Pelodiscus sinensis: one gene and its partner. The protein of the gene in region 2 purifies or fractionates together with the protein of the main gene of each other region. This does not show direct contact. Links are inferred from orthologs where the notes say so. Each region holds a gene or a part of one and is shown on either strand. Other genes may lie near its edges.

Region 1 (8,101 bases), on a different chromosome or scaffold from region 2:
GCATACATTTCCCTAGTACATGCCAACATTACTGTATTGGTGTTAAGTTTACCAATGATAGTGTGAATATGGGCTTGCAAAATAGAAACATTTCAGAATTAATGTGATCCAATACTTAAAGATGACAGTTTAAACATTTGTATTCCTTGGAAAACTAACTTGGATGCTGACTTCCATTTCCTTAGACAAACAAAAAAAAAGTTACCTATTAGAGGTCATATTGTCCTTTAATTAAAATTTGGAGACCTAATCTGCTTTTTTTTTTTTTTTTTTTTAATATACAGTGGTTGCACCTTTGATCTTTAGAGGTGCTTAGGCACCTCTGAATTGGGACTTTTTAAACCTCTGATTTTGAAAGCATTTATGCACAAGAGTAGCCTTATTGACGTCAATGGAACAATTTGAGTTTAAAGTTAAACATATATTTAAATGTCTTGCTGGAGCAGGACCTAAATTTCAAAAGCGAGTAATGGTTTTATTCACTGACACTGGATGCTTCAGTTTTCTTGGGTCTCAAGTTCAGCATTAAAAATCACTGATTTCTAAAAATTTAAGCCAAAAGCTATTAATTCCATATGAATTAGGCCAATACTGCAGCTTGAAAGTTGACCTGAGACCTTAGACTCATAGGCTGTGTCTACACTGCATCCCTTTTCCGGAAAAGGGATGCAGATGAGACAAATCGGAATTGCAAATGAAGCGGGGATTTACATCTCCCCCGCTCCATTTGCATGAACATGGCTGCTGTTTTTTTCCTGCTCGGGGCTTTGCTGGAAAAAAGCGTCAGTCTAGATGGGATCTTTTGGAAAATAAAGCCTTTTCCGAAAGGTCCCTTATTCCTGATTTTTAAGAGGAATAAGGGACCTTTTGGAAAAGACTTTATTTTCCGAAAGTTCCCCGTCTAGACTGGCGCTTTTTTCCGGCAAAGCCCCGAGCCGGAAAAAAGCGGCAGCCATGTTCATGCAAATGGAGTGGGGGAGATGTAAATCCCCGCTTCATTTGCAATTCCGACTTGTCTCATCTGCATCCCTTTTCCGGAAAAGGGGTGTAGTGTAGACACAGCCATACTGTCATGAATGGGCTTTGGAGCAGGCCCTATAAAGTCACTGAGGTCTTGCAGAGACTGTTGAATTGGACCTTTGATATAGGAATAAGCTTCTAGAAGTCTACACAATGTACACACATTATTTTGCATCTCTCACATTATTGGAGATGAGTGCTGAAATATTCAATGTAAAATGTTTCTATCTTGATCAGAATTAATCAAATATATAATGATAGTATTTGAGACTATTATAGTGAATTAGTCCTATTTTTAAATGTCAAAAATATAAACTTTGTCTGGTACAAGTTTCCAAGTATCTTCCTAATGTTTTATATACAGTATATTTTTAATTAAAAATAAACTTTGCCCATATAGGATTAATGTGCCATACATAATATATAAAGATACAGTACAACTGGTGTATTTCTCATGAAGATCTAAAACATCTGGGTATTAGTAGCACTATGGGTTTTAGTCCAATCTCCTTTTTTACAGAAATAGGCTTGTTTGTTTGAACAGGGAAATATGCTTTTTAGACAATGTCTCAGACTAGTACTGATCTCCCAGGAAAAACAAAGCAGGATTTTTAATTTTGTTTTTTGTTTGTTTCCATGTGGGACTAAGCAATAGCAGACCCATGTATTAAGTGAACATTCTTTTGGACACCTGTCAAAAACTACTACTGAAATTCTCTCTATGTTCACATGGGAGTGAAGGGAGACTAAAAGGTCTCAAATTGCAACACTTCTCAATGACTCCTCACGCCATTTCATCTTTATACCTTGTTAAAAATATCGCATCAAATAGATGAGTACAGATTTTTCAATTTGAGAAACTCAAAATTGAAAGGAGTTCTTACTTGCACGCTTGTTACATTGTGAAGTAGTACATTGTTATCTTCATGAATATGGGGCTTACATACATAATTCATATGTATCAAGAGACGAATATATCCCAAAAGCTGAAAAGGAGAGTTCTCTTAGTAATTCCCTAACCTTGGGAAATCTAAATTTGTGCGCTGGGCCTAAAGAAAAGATTTTATTTTTAACATGTACAAAAATTGTATCGTAACACTTTTTTATCATAGTGATTTATCTTTCTAAACTTCCTAGAAAAATTTTCTACACAAAAAAAATTTACTTTGAGACCTGTTGGAACATATTTTAGTTTAGAAACCTCTAATCTCTCTGGGAAATTGTCACTGTAACTTCCTACTAGAAAATGAGGATACAATAATTTGCTTGCATTTGACTTTTTAAAAGGGCATTTTATAGCATGGTATATGTTGGTGATGACTTAAACATTACAATTAGGATACATTTTAATAATGATTTGGATGTAGATGTTTCTTCTAACTTTTGTCTGTTACATTTGAACTATGAGCATGCAACTTCCAATCTGAATTTTGTTTCTTGAAAACAGGCAAATTATGTAGCAGCAGCTTTAGTAGATGAAGTACAAATGAATTTTTGTGATGTGCATTTTTTTGTAGGCATTAAAAGTTTATGATAAACCTTTGGTGAGAAGTCATTCATGCAAGCTGCTTCTCAGTTTAAATGTAATGCATTCAGCTATTTGATACATTATTGCAAAATGAATCTTGACACAAACCACAAGTTAAATTAACTGGTAAATAGAAAAGGATGAATGATGTATTAACATAAATGTAAAAATAAACACTGAATACAGGTATATTAAGCTATATAATTGTTAAAATAAGTGTGTGTTGTGTATAAACACACACACAGAGGCCTAGTTTAGTACAACCCCCCCCCCCCCCATCTTAAATTTTTTTGTAAAGGTTATATTTAGTTTAAAATAGTTTTTTTCCCCCCAGGGATTACCAACCAGTCCAAACCAGCTTTTCTTGAGGAAAAATAACTAAAAAAATGTAAATACAAAACAAGACTGTAACTGATTATTTAAATCAAGGTTTCCTGTTTCTGAGTTAAGAGCCCATCAACTGCATGGATTGATTTATTTCCCTTTTAAATGTTTTCATTCATATTGTAGGTTAGATGTCTCTGACCTAATGCTTCTAGAAATGTTTACTATAAAGCAGCATCCATCACTTGTAAAACCAGTTCACAACATGTCAGTTTTTAAAGAAATAACTCTGGTCCAAACTAACTGTTAGTTTAACACTATTGACTTACACAGCCTTCAGAATTCTAATAGTAATAAAACAGTTTACTGCAAACTCCACAGCCTGCTTGGCCTTGCATCTTTAACTATCCCACTTGGTTGTCATCTATCTGAGGAAAACAACAGCATGCACTAATGATTCTATTTGTTTTATCCAAAGATGTTAAAAACTGGGATGTGTTTTTAGGGGGTATGGGTGGAACTCATTACCAACAAAATATCACTGAGGACAAGTACTTAAGATTAAAAATGGATGATAAGAACATTCGTAGTTGTATAAAGTAGGATAAAAGTGTTAGGATATCTAATCTCCTCCTTTACAGAATAAGCTAACTACTAAGTTTAAGAAGAAACTCTTCCCCTGGGGCAAGTTATTATGTAATTTTCAACCGTGGTATTCCTTGCACTTTATTCTGAACATCTGGTATTGGCCATTTATGAGCACCAGACATGATATCAGAATAATGGAACAGAGGATGTGGCAATTCCTGTATTCCTTACTCGTTTGCATAGTAGAGATCCTTGGGTGCATCAGAGGTGCAAACTATTATTGAAATATGACTATCGTCTTCTTAGAAAGCATACAGTGATTTGTTTAAGTCTCCAGTGTGACCTTGCTTCTGAATGATGCCTAAACATTATTACATACATCTTTTAACACAAGATCAACATAGGGACTTTTATTGTGCATGTTGATGCTTCTAGTAAACAGTTGTTTTATTCAACTGGAAAATCCACCTCCACTGAAAGACAGGAATGTGATTTGTGTGTATTCTTCTGAGCTTCTCTTGAGAATCCCAAAAATCCACATATAAGGCTCAATACATTGAGTCGATAGGTGGCCTTGCAATTCCAAACCTAAAAAGTTCTTGAGGAAAACTGCAATGCTTGTTGTGGAGAGTTTTGTGATTAAAGTACATCAGTGTAGGATTCAGGAGATGAGAGCAAATCACTTTTCTTGTTCCTCATTTACAAAACGGAGATTACAGTAATTTGTTACCTCACCACAGTATTGTGAACATAAAATTGGAAATAACTGAAGTGCTGAGAGCACCACAGCATTAAAACTGGAAAAAATATCACGACTGTTGCATACTGACATTGTCGCTTTGCAGAATATAAACTTACCCTTAGAAGATAATGGGACTGCATCGGCACTTTCAAACCTTTGTTCTCTGCAGAAGGTCAAAGTTGGAGTTTGTTGGTTTGCCTAGTATTTGAGAGACTATTTTAGTTCTTAACCCTCTGAAATCCTAGCCGACTGCTAAGGGGGGGGGGGGGGAAAAGTGCAGACTACAACTCTGGCTCATTTGTTCTTCCCGACTTTACAGAGACGGTAACAGCGGCTTTCCCATGCAATACAGTGTCCAGCAAACAGTAACCAAGGGACTCGTCTACTGGAATAATATTGCCACACAATTATGCAGGGGCTACGTGCTGGCTTTGTACCAGGTGCGTTCCGACGGAGCCTGCGATGCTCTGCCCGGCACGATACCGCGCCCCCTGGTGGCTGAACAGCAGAAGTTTAACTTTCCGTGGCACATGCCGCACTCAACCCCCACCCAGGCCTGGCTGGGAGTGTGGGTGGGATTGGGGAGCTGATTTTAGAGGAGAGCCTGCTGCACCCCTCCCCCCACCCCAGGACGCTTCAGTGGGACATTTTCACTCAGGCAGCTTCCGGGCCCCTGAGCCGGGAGAAGCTGCTCGCACAGTGCGGGCGCGTTCCCCCCTCCCCCGGGCCGTTAAAAGAGACGGAACGATTCCGCAGCGCCTCTTGTTGTAGAGGGGGCAGGTTTCGTCGTCGCACAGCGTGTCCCTCGCGGGGAGCGTCCGCCAGCTGCCGTGTCCCTCCCGGCTCGCCTCTCTGCCGCGCTCGCCATGGACGCGTTAGCGGTAGAGCTGGGGACTCTGACCCCGGAGCAGGCGGCGGCTCCCGTGAACACGGTGGAGGTGAGCGAGGGGGTGAAGGCGCCGCCAGCCCGCAGAGGAGGGGCGGGCCCCGAGCAGCGGAGCCCCCGCGAGCTGTGCCCCCTGCTGCGCATGCGCGTCGCCCCATGGTGCGGCTGCAGGGGGCTTTCGGGGCTCTGGAGACCGAGTCCCCGAGTCAGCTGTGGCGCATGCGCGGGGCTCCGCCGGCTTTTCCACGCTGCCCAGTTCTCTCCCAAGGGAGGGAGCTCGCTCTTCTAGGCTGGCTGCTTTGCCAGGTGGCCCCCGGGGCTTGGGGACAACAGGCACCTGTATAAAGCCCCACATGTCGGGACTCGTCCCTATAAAATCAGGACATCTGGTCACCCAACTTCTCCTGCTAACCATCATCATAGAAACAAGCTGATATCTAACATCTTGTGCTAATTGAGGCCACCTCTTCTTCAAGCTGCAACTTTGCTGTGTGTGAAATTACCCCCGCTGAGATATCAGGCACCACCATAGCACGTGAGCAACATAAAAGTTGCTAGCCATAGCAGTGTTCCTCCCGGACTTTGTGGCATTTCTGGTACTTCTCCTCCTTCTTCAGGGTAAAAGTGCTGTCTGGGTTTGCATTTTTAGATTTTAATCCTCTGTTCCTTTTTTTGCTAGTGGCTTAGTGGACAGAAGGGAGGTGTCAGAAATGTAGCCTTTAAATCAAGGTGCACAATGCAAAGAGCTCAGCACTGTATTCCATTGCAAGGTTAACTTGTTATATGCTCCCTTTGAGCCTCATCTTGCAAGTAGGATAGTGATAGAAATGTAGCCGTGTTAGTCTGGGGGTAGTTGAAGCAAAATGCAGGACAATGTAGCACTTTAAAGACTAACAAGATGGTTTATTAGATGATGAGCTTTCGTGGGCCAGACCCACTTCCTATTTGATCTGAGGAAGTGGGTCTGGCCCACGAAAGCTCATCATCTAATAAACCATCTTGTTAGTCTTTAAAGTGCTACATTGTCCTGCATTTTGCTTGCAAGTAGGGTGAGCATCTTTTCAAAATGCAAAAAGAAGACGCATGCAAGAACCCTCCCTTTTGCGGGTCCTCCACTTCCACCAGAAACCCTCCTCCAGCCAGATTGGAAACTTGGAGCCAACTGTGCTAAGAGCTACCCAGGGATCTTTGGTCACTATGGGGAGCCCTAGACCTTCCATCTGCCCTGAATGGGCAGCCAGAGTCCATAAGAGTGGTGCCAAACCTGTGTCCCTGCCCCATGGGGTGTGCTGCCCAGGAACTGGTGGATACAAGGTCTGAGTCTCCAGGGCTCCACACAGGGACCTGGGCTCTGTGAGCAGCTCTTATTACTATCTAGCACCAGCTTCTGGCGGGGGATGGGGAGGAGGAGCAGGGGGCAAAACCTTGTGGAGAAAGAGAGCTTCAGCCCACCTGACTAAATAGGCTGACGCTATCCATAAGCCTCTGGTAGGTGCAGAATGGCACCATGGGAATCATTTAGCCTGGAACCAGGACTTGAAACGTACGTTGGTGGGACTGTGCCATCCAGTTAGGGAAGGTGGTTATCCTGCCTGGGGATGTTGGATGCTCAGTACTTCATGGAATTAAGCCTATATGTAGTAGGCACAAAAGGGTTGAGGCTGCCACTTGCACACTAGTTCCATCATGATTTTATTTGCTCTTGTAGCTGCCCTGAAACTAATTTTGTGCCAGTTTTACTTGTGACGTGCATGAGTTTATCATATAGGGTAAACCATGCAAAGTTATAACTCTTTATTGAATTCACCTTCCTCCACATTCATGTTTGTTCAAACTACTACAGTAAACTTCCAATAATCCGGCACCTTTAGGACCCAGGGGGTGCCGGATTATCAGATATGCCGGAGTATAGGAAGGGGGCCTATGAGGGTCTGGGTGGAGTTGGGGGGCTGTGCCCCTCGGCGCTGCGGGACCAACCCGGTAGCACCCCAGCTGCTCTGCCCCCGGCTTCCCCGAGTCAGCCACTGGTTAGTTTAAGCAGCGGCTGAATCGGGGAAGCTGGGGGCAGAGCAGCTCCAATGGTCCGGCTGCCCGGAGCACTTCCGAGTTCCAGATGATGCCGGACCATCAGGAGTGCCGGACCACTGGAGTTTTACTGTACATACCAAAATAGTTTGTCATAAATCCTGCTGTATCCCTTTTAAACATGGGAGAGGGGAGAGGGGAGGGAAACAGAACTTGATTTGAATTCAATTTTTCCTCCCTAGATTTGAAATGTAAACATTAAGTTGCTTCCCTTATTTTTTATGATTTTTGCTTTTCTCTTGTGGAATTGTGAATAACAAAGTTGTACTAAAAATCTTAAACAACGAATGACGGAATAAAAATTAACTAAATTTCATGTCTTTGAAAGCTAGTGAAACAATATATCTGGGACTCCACACTCCAGTATACATATCCATGACAATTCTTTTTTATTTATTTGAAGTTAATTTTAGAATTGAATTATTTAATGTTAAGAATCTTTGCTGCCTTTGAATCTTGAAATACTTGTAAAGTTAGACATACTGTCAACCCACAAGTCACATTTGTCTGAATATTTAGAACCTATTTTTTAATTGTAGTAACATCTGAGATTCCTGTACAGCTGAAACACGTTAAAAGAAAAAAGTCTTTTATGTTTTCACATTTGTACATTTGACAGCAATTTGTGTTTGGCTGTGTATATTAGTATTTGTAGGATTAGGACCATAATTCTCTCTCTCGCTGAAAAGACCCTGATAAACATCAATAGGAAAATAAAACATTTTTAAGGAGTGTCTCTTTTTTTCTTTTAAAAAATTAATCAGGACATAGTATTTAAATGGTGTTTTCTTATAAGCTTGTATTTTATTAAATTAGTCAGTTTAAAAACATGTAAACTGTGTTCCTTCAAGTATCTTGATTATAGTTTGTATTGCACAGGTGATTACTGTATTATTTAAATTGTCATTTGCTTGTTCATGTTACTAAT
Region 2 (7,622 bases):
GAAGACCCTGGGGGAGGGGCTTCCAGGAGTGCTGACAGGGCCACTGCCATTTGCTTTCCCACTCTCTGGGCCTCCTCACCACCTATCCTGCAGGGCCAGCTTCCTGGTCTCCCTCAGCCAAGATACCTTGCTGAGATCAGTGCCCTCCTCTGCCCCCAGGAAGCAGTAAAGATACTGAATCTCTTCTGGTCCAAGGAAAGGCCAGTTTAGGCCCCAGCTTCCTGAGATACCACTCCCCAAATGGGATCAAAACCCACCAATGAATTACTTGGGTAAGCTCCCTTTAGCAATGAAAGGGGAAATGTACACACTGGTTGCCCCTCCCTGCCAGGTAAAAATTATTTTCATTGGGCTTGATAGAAAATAAAGTGTTTTTATTAACAACAAGCAGTAGGATTTAAGTCAGGGCTACTCAGCACATGGCTTGTGGGTCACATGTGGCTCATGGCCCATTTATTTGTGGCCTGTGGTCTGATTTGGGTTTATGTGGCTCAACACGCGGTCTGCAGGTGGGATCCTTTGAACGTGGCCTCTATTGGGAACACACTCCACAATGACGAGGCATCTTCCATGCGGGGTGAGCACTGAAAGACACAAGTGGACAGGCTGGCTGGACCAGATGGGTACAGAGTGTCAGTGTTTCTAGTCCCCAGAGAGGAGGTGTCAGGAGCTGGGGCATTGTGGGAAGTGCTGGCTACTTAGCCTTGTGGGCAGAATCTAAAAAGTGCTGACTGGCTCACACTGGCCATGTTTGGGTCTAGCGCCACAACTTAAATCTTTGTTTTCATGCCAATAAGCGTGAAAGAAGTTATTTGCATATACTTGCATATATATTTACATGTATATGCAACCACACTTAAGCTGTGGCCCACTGCATGTGCTGTGAGTATCATTGTGACGCTCGGGGCTTCCAAAGTTGAGTAGCCCTGATTTAAGTGGTAGTAAGTGAGAACAGGCAGAGCAAAGTAGATTACAAATCAAACGTAACAAAAACTGCTAAGCTAATTCTGACACTAACTAAAATCCTCAGAACAAACTATAAACTCACCCTAAAACTGTCTCATTTCCAGCACAACCTTCCAAACCAGGGCTGTCCCTCACCTTGGAGCCTTTAGTTCACCCTCTTCACATCTGCCCAACCAGCCCAAAGACCCAGACTACTACCTTCCTATTGTTTTTAAAGATTCCCTCCTGGGAATTCACCTGGCCAGTTGGGGTGAACATGTGACTTTCCCAGACCAACCACTGCTAAGACTTAAAGGACAAAAGAAAGTGTTGGTCATCAAGTTGGTCATCAAGACATTGCATCTTTAATGCTATTCATTCACACATTTAAAACCATAAAGCATTCCCCAGTCCATATGTCTAATTTTATACACAAGAATGACACACATACCAAAATGAGATGAACAGATCTAGCAGATTAAGATATGAAGATTGATAGGTTACATGAAGTAATTTGCTCAAAGCACTTTGGAGTTATGTACATTTGTACCCATAAGTCCATTTCATAAAGCATCAGGGGGTCCATCACGTTGAGACTCTCAGCTTGCATCTTTCTAGCTCTCATGTTGCAGAGAAAAGGTACAAAATGTGAGCCAATGGTACCCAAAAGTTTCAGAAGCTAAGCCCTTGTCTACACTACAGAGATCATGTGTGTCCGATATTTTTTTGAAAGCCATCTTTGGCAGCAGAACACAGAGACTCCCAGTCCCCACTCCTGGGTGCCACAGCTAAGCGTTACACCAAGGTGACTCAACTTTGGAAGTCCTGGGAGCCACAATGATACCTACCGCACATGCTGAGGGTAGGGTTACCAGATGGCTTTCAAAATAATATCAGACATACAAGATCTCAGAATGGGGGGAGGGGAGGAACCAGCTGGGAGGGGTTCGGGGGAGCAGGGCTGATCGGGGGCAGGGGGCAACTGGCTGGCGGGAAGCAGGGCTGGGCGGGGAGGATAGGAGGAGCAGATCTGATGGTGGGGGGAGGGGGAGAATGGCTGGCAGGAAGCAGGGCTGGCCAGGAAGGGGTCAGGGGGAGCGAGGCTAGCCGGGGTGATTTTGGGGTGGAGGCTGGCCAGCGGAGAGCTGGGCTGGCCAGGAGGGGGTCGGGAGGAGCAGGGCTGTCCAGGGGAAATTGGGGGAAGGAACCAGCTGGTGGGAAGCAAGGCTGGCCAGGAGAAGGTTGGCGGGGGTGGGGCTGGCCAGGGGAAATAGGGGTATTGGGAGGCGGACCAGCTGGTGGAGAGCGGGGCTGGCTGGGAGGGGGTCGGGAGGAGCAGGGCTGGCTGGGGGAGATTGGGGGAAAGGAACCAGCTGGTGGGAAGCAGGGCTGTCCGGGAGAGGGTCGGAGGGGAGCGGGGCTGACTGCGGCGGTGCGGGGGAGACGACTGGCAGGCAGGGAGCAGGACTGGCCGGGCGGGGGAGGAGGGGTCAGAGGGGAAGAACTGGCTGGTGGGGAGAGGGCTGGTTTGGGCACACACAGATCCTGGAGTGCTGCCCATCCCGTGCATGGTCCCGGCAGGGTGCATGAGTGAGTCCGACCCCAGAGATTCCATCCCGCCTCACCCCCGCCCCCTCCTCCCTACTGCGTAGCTGTGTACTGCCTGGCTGGTAGACACGTTCACGCACTATGCAACTTTGTACTGATACTCAGGATAACAATAAAACTTACTTAATTAGAAAATACTGGACATTTATATGTCGGGTATTTTCTCAATTTGTTTCCCGGACAGAAAGCTCAAATACCGGACTGTCCGGTTCAAAACCAGACACCTGGCAACCCTAGCTGAGGGCTGAAACTTAAATGTGGTTGCATATACATGCAAATATATATACACTCAGCTTCTTTCACATTTTGGGCATGAATACAAAGATTAAGCAAGACCACATAACACACAGGCCCCATTTAAGTCAGTTGTGCTGATATTAATAAAATGCAATATTTACCCGATTTCCATCCATAGGACAGCACTTTTAGTGAGCAATGACAGTCCAGGACTTAAACTACTAAAACGCATATCACCAAAAAACCATTATATTGACTACTTTTTTTGGGGGGGGGCTCTCACCTGCAGGCCGCATATTGAGCCCTGCGTAAATCCAAACCACACCACTGGCCGCAAACAAACGGGCTGAGCGCCGCATATGGCCCATGGGCCACATATTGAGAAGCCCAGCACTATAACATGTACCCTCTCCCTCCACACCTGTTCTCGCACCTCACTCCATTCCAAAGCCTGTAACCCCTCACCCCTTCTTACATCCACTGGCCCAGCCCAGAGGCTGCACCAGCACCCAAATTGCACCCCCCCCACTCTCCCTCCCGCACCCAAACTGCACCCCCCCACTCTCCCTCCCTCACCCAAACTGCACCCCCCCACTCCTCCTCCCGCACCCAAACTGCATCCCCCCCACTCTCCCTCCCTCACCCAAACTGCATCCCCCCCACTCTCCCTCCCTCACCCAAACTGCACCCCCCCCACTCCTCCTCCCGCACCCAAACTGCATCCCCCCCACTCCTCCTCCCGCACCCAAACTGCATCCCCCCCACTCTCCCTCCCTCACCCAAACTGCACCCCCCCCACTCCTCCTCCCGCACCCAAACTGCATCCCCCCCACTCCTCCTCCCGCACCCAAACTGCATCCCCCCCACTCTCCCTCCCTCACCCAAACTGCACCCCCCCACTCCTCCTCCCGCACCCAAACTGCATCCCCCCCACTCTCCCTCCCTCACCCAAACTGCATCCCCCCCACTCTCCCTCCCTCACCCAAACTGCATCCCCCCCACTCTCCCTCCCTCACCCAAACTGCACCCCCCCCACTCCTCCTCCCGCACCCAAACTGCACCCCCCCCACTCCTCCTCCCGCACCCAAACTGCACCCCCCCCACTCCTCCTCCCGCACCCAAACTGCACCCCCCCCACTCCTCCTCCCGCACCCAAACTGCACCCCCCCCACTCCTCCTCCCGCACCCAAACTGCATCCCCCCCACTCTCCCTCCCTCACCCAAACTGCATCCCCCCCACTCTCCCTCCCTCACCCAAACTGCACCCCCCCCACTCCTCCTCCCGCACCCAAACTGCACCCCCCCCACTCCTCCTCCCGCACCCAAACTGCACCCCCCCCACTCCTCCTCCCGCACCCAAACTGCACCCCCCCCACTCCTCCTCCCGCACCCAAACTGCACCCCCCCACTCCTCCTCCCGCACCCAAACTGCATCCCCCCCCACTCTCCCTCCCTCACCCAAACTGCACCCCCCCACTCTCCCTCCCTCACCCAAACTGCACCCCCCACTCCTCCTCCCTCACCCAAACTCCATCCTCCCCACTCCTCCTCCCGCACCCAAACTCCATCCTCCCCACCGAGAGGCGTAGGCGGGAGGGCGGATCTGGGGGGGGGAGGGGTTGCGGGCTCTGGGCACCGCCAGTTTCTGCGGACCTGCCGCCCAGACGCCTGTGACCCACTAGGTTAACCCAGGTACGAGCCTCGGCGCCCCGCCCAACAGCCCACTCCGCCAGCAAAGCGTCTCCGCGCGTGCGCAGGAATAGTCTTCCACGTCCTCTCCAGGAGCCGAACGGGGCGATTCGGCCTCTATAGGAAGTTTGAGCTTTGGGACGCTCCGTATCCGAGGAGCTCTAGTGTGCGAATACGGCGTATCCGCCACGCTACGGGATCGCGGAGGGGTCAGTTCCTTTCGCTCGGTCCCTGCTGTCTCCGCGCTGCGTTGGAGAAACTGAGCAGCAGCCATGCCCCGCTTCGCCCAGCTGGTCATGGGCCCGGCGGGCAGTGGGAAGGTGAGACCACCCTTCGCCTTGTACCGAGGGTGGACCCGGGGCGTGCGGCGGGAATGGGGGCGGGGCATAAGGGGTTGGGGTAATTGAGGAAACTGAGGCATGGGAAACTGAGGCATGGGTAAGTACTTGGAGGCGTGGGGGTAAGTGGAGGGTTATGAGGCGGCTTAAGTGGAAGTTGCCGTGTACTCCCGTTGGCGTTTCTTGCAATCTGACATGGTGTAAAGTGGCGGTGACTCTTCTGATAAAATAGTCCTTTGTGGTAGCCTACAGATAACCCTTTGCATTGCGTTTGCATCGCTCCTTTCATCGGGAGACTGGACGGTGCTGTACAGAGGAGGTGTTATCCCCCTTTCACAGCCAGGGATACTCAGGCATAGAGGGGAAGTGCTGCATATGTTGGACGGTTACGTCAGGCAGAGCTGGGAATGGAATTCGGGTATTCAGATTCCCAGACTCCTGCTTTCAATATTAAGACTGTTGCCTCTACTTTCAGGTATAAAATTGCAACTTTTAGGTACTTTCAGTGGGTAATAAGATTCCTATTTAAATTACAGAGCACTTACTGTTCCACCATGGTTCAGCATTGTGCAGCCCTAAACCGCTCAGTGCAAGTTGTTAACCTGGACCCTGCAGCAGAATACTTCAATTATCCTGTGATGGCTGGTGAGTTGTGTTTGGGTGCATTGTTTCTTAATTTCCTGTACTCTCCGAACTGCTGAAAATGGATAGAGAATAGAACAGTTCTTACACAGGCTGAATCAGGCTTGAATATCGAGTTTTCTTTTTAATGACAAATTCAAATTTAATTCAAATTTGACCTGTCTGCATGTCAAAGCTGTTCCGATTTGACTTACAGCACTCTCCCGATTTTAAATCTGATTTTTATTTTTTAATAAAAGGATATATATATATATATATATATATATATTATACACACACACACAAAACTATGGTATTTTGAGGCAATATTAGTAGGACCTATACAATATTTTTCCTGAATCTATAGCAGTATTTTACAAACCTTTTAGAAATAGTCAGTGTTCTGGTTTCCCCCTATATATACATTTTTTTTGTCTGTTTGAAGGAATGGAGAAAAGAAACAACACTTTAAAAAAAACCCAGGAATTTGTGACTGTAAAATCACAAAAATTGGCAAAAGGCATGGGGGATGGGAGAGCTGGGGCAGCACGTGAAACAAATTTAGTTGGCGAAGATCATTTGGAGATTTAAACTTGTAGGAATTTGCTTCTGGAATTTATTTATGAAGTGTTGAAAAAAACACAAAACATGCACTTTTTATTCTAGACATTCGAGAATTAATTGAAGTAGATGATGTTATGGAAGATGACAACTTAAGGTTTGGTCCCAATGGTGGTTTAGTGTTTTGCATGGAATACTTTGCCAATAACTTTGATTGGCTTGAGGATTGTCTTGGCCATGTGGAGGATGACTACATACTCTTTGATTGCCCAGGTAAACAAGCTTTTATATTCTGGTGACTTAATTTTTTTTCTTATCTGATGTGTAGATTTTTTTTGCATGTATTTGATCATTTGCAGATAAAGCCTTTTTTAACTGTTATGTGGTTTAGTGCCAAAATGAAACATATTATTTTGTTTAAAACTGTCCAAGAGCAAATACTTCTTTTTAGATAATGCTATCACACATTCTGTGCTAGATTTCACTAATTTTAATAGCAATATCTTCTGCCTATCTACTATAATGGTATTTGATGAACTAATATGCTATTACTGTCTCAGCATTAGCTTTACACTCCTGCATATTAATTATGTATGTGTCCTAGGTCAGATTGAACTTTATACTCATTTGCCAATGATGAAACAGCTGGTGGAGCAGCTGCAACAGTGGGAATTTCGTGTCTGTGGAGTTTTTCTTGTTGATTCTCAGTTTATGGTGGAATCTTTTAAGGTAGGAGTTTTAAATTGATTGTAACAAAGTTTTTAATTTACAGATGAACAATCTGGAGAAATGAATAACTATATTCAGAATATGGATGTTAAATATTGGTGAATTGAATAGTCAATTAACCTCATGAATTCTTATTGGTTAGTCGACTATTCTATAGTCCCCAGGCAGCCCCTGTCCGGGGGGGAGGAGTCTGAGCTCCCAGACCCGGCACAAACCGGAACTGAGCCGGGCTGCCTAGCTTCTAATAAACTTTAAATGCAGAGCTGCAGTGGGGGTAGGTCCAGGACCCAGTGCAAGCCAGGGCTAAGCTGGGCTGCTGGCCAGCCTGCTAAAAATTTTACTGGCGGGGGGTGGGGGCAATGAGTGTAGTCTATAGCATTAACCTATAAGCTTTTGCTTATCAGTTAATCGACTGTACTGTTACATCCCTAATTCAAAAGCAATCATAGCATTTTTCACCTCTCCATTGTCACTCTTTTGTAAACTTAAATATTCTTTATGGCCTAATAGTCTATGGAGGTGTGGGTAGGAAATGGGAGTCATGAGATCTGCGAAAAATCCTTGAATGCTGACTGTTCACTGTATCAATTAACCTGTAAAATGAGCAAAATTGGTACTTGAAAAATGAAGTTCCTGAAGTAAGGGATACACTGAGATGGGAATCCTAGAACTCGCCCAGAAGTAGGTTGGCTTCTGACCTAACAATGTCCTTAGACATTGCTTTGCCTCCTACATTTCATATCTGTCTGTTGCTAGTAGGGGCAAAACTAGCAAAAGACAGAAATGAGGCTGTAGGGTAAGTTGTGCATATATGCACAAGACTGGGTGAAAAAGGCTGATGGAGTAAGTTGGAAAAAAGTATAGTACAGAAGGGGAGAGACCCTGTATCTTCAT

What was found. Proteins that work in one complex are often made in the same cells at the same time.
Region 1: the proteins of GPN3 (region 2) and POLR3B purify together in Homo sapiens (affinity purification with mass spectrometry; 3 studies listed by BioGRID and IntAct, counting the BioPlex papers as one, with this or other methods). This does not show direct contact. The link is inferred for Pelodiscus sinensis from reciprocal best matches to the Homo sapiens genes GPN3 and POLR3B.

What each region holds. Positions count from the first base shown.
Region 1 is NC_134711.1:96,922,610-96,930,710, reverse strand, and holds the start of POLR3B (DNA-directed RNA polymerase III subunit RPC2), read left to right. Parts: upstream 1-5,008; 5' UTR 5,009-5,068; coding exon 5,069-5,140; exon of another isoform or gene 5,141-5,141; intron 5,142-8,101. UniProt on the Homo sapiens protein: Catalytic core component of RNA polymerase III (Pol III), a DNA-dependent RNA polymerase which synthesizes small non-coding RNAs using the four ribonucleoside triphosphates as substrates.
Region 2 is NC_134725.1:32,203,340-32,210,961, forward strand, and holds the start of GPN3 (GPN-loop GTPase 3), read left to right. Parts: upstream 1-4,570; 5' UTR 4,571-4,751; coding exon 4,752-4,799; intron 4,800-5,353; coding exon 5,354-5,462; intron 5,463-6,104; coding exon 6,105-6,272; intron 6,273-6,603; coding exon 6,604-6,728; intron 6,729-7,622. UniProt on the Homo sapiens protein: Small GTPase required for proper localization of RNA polymerase II (RNAPII). May act at an RNAP assembly step prior to nuclear import.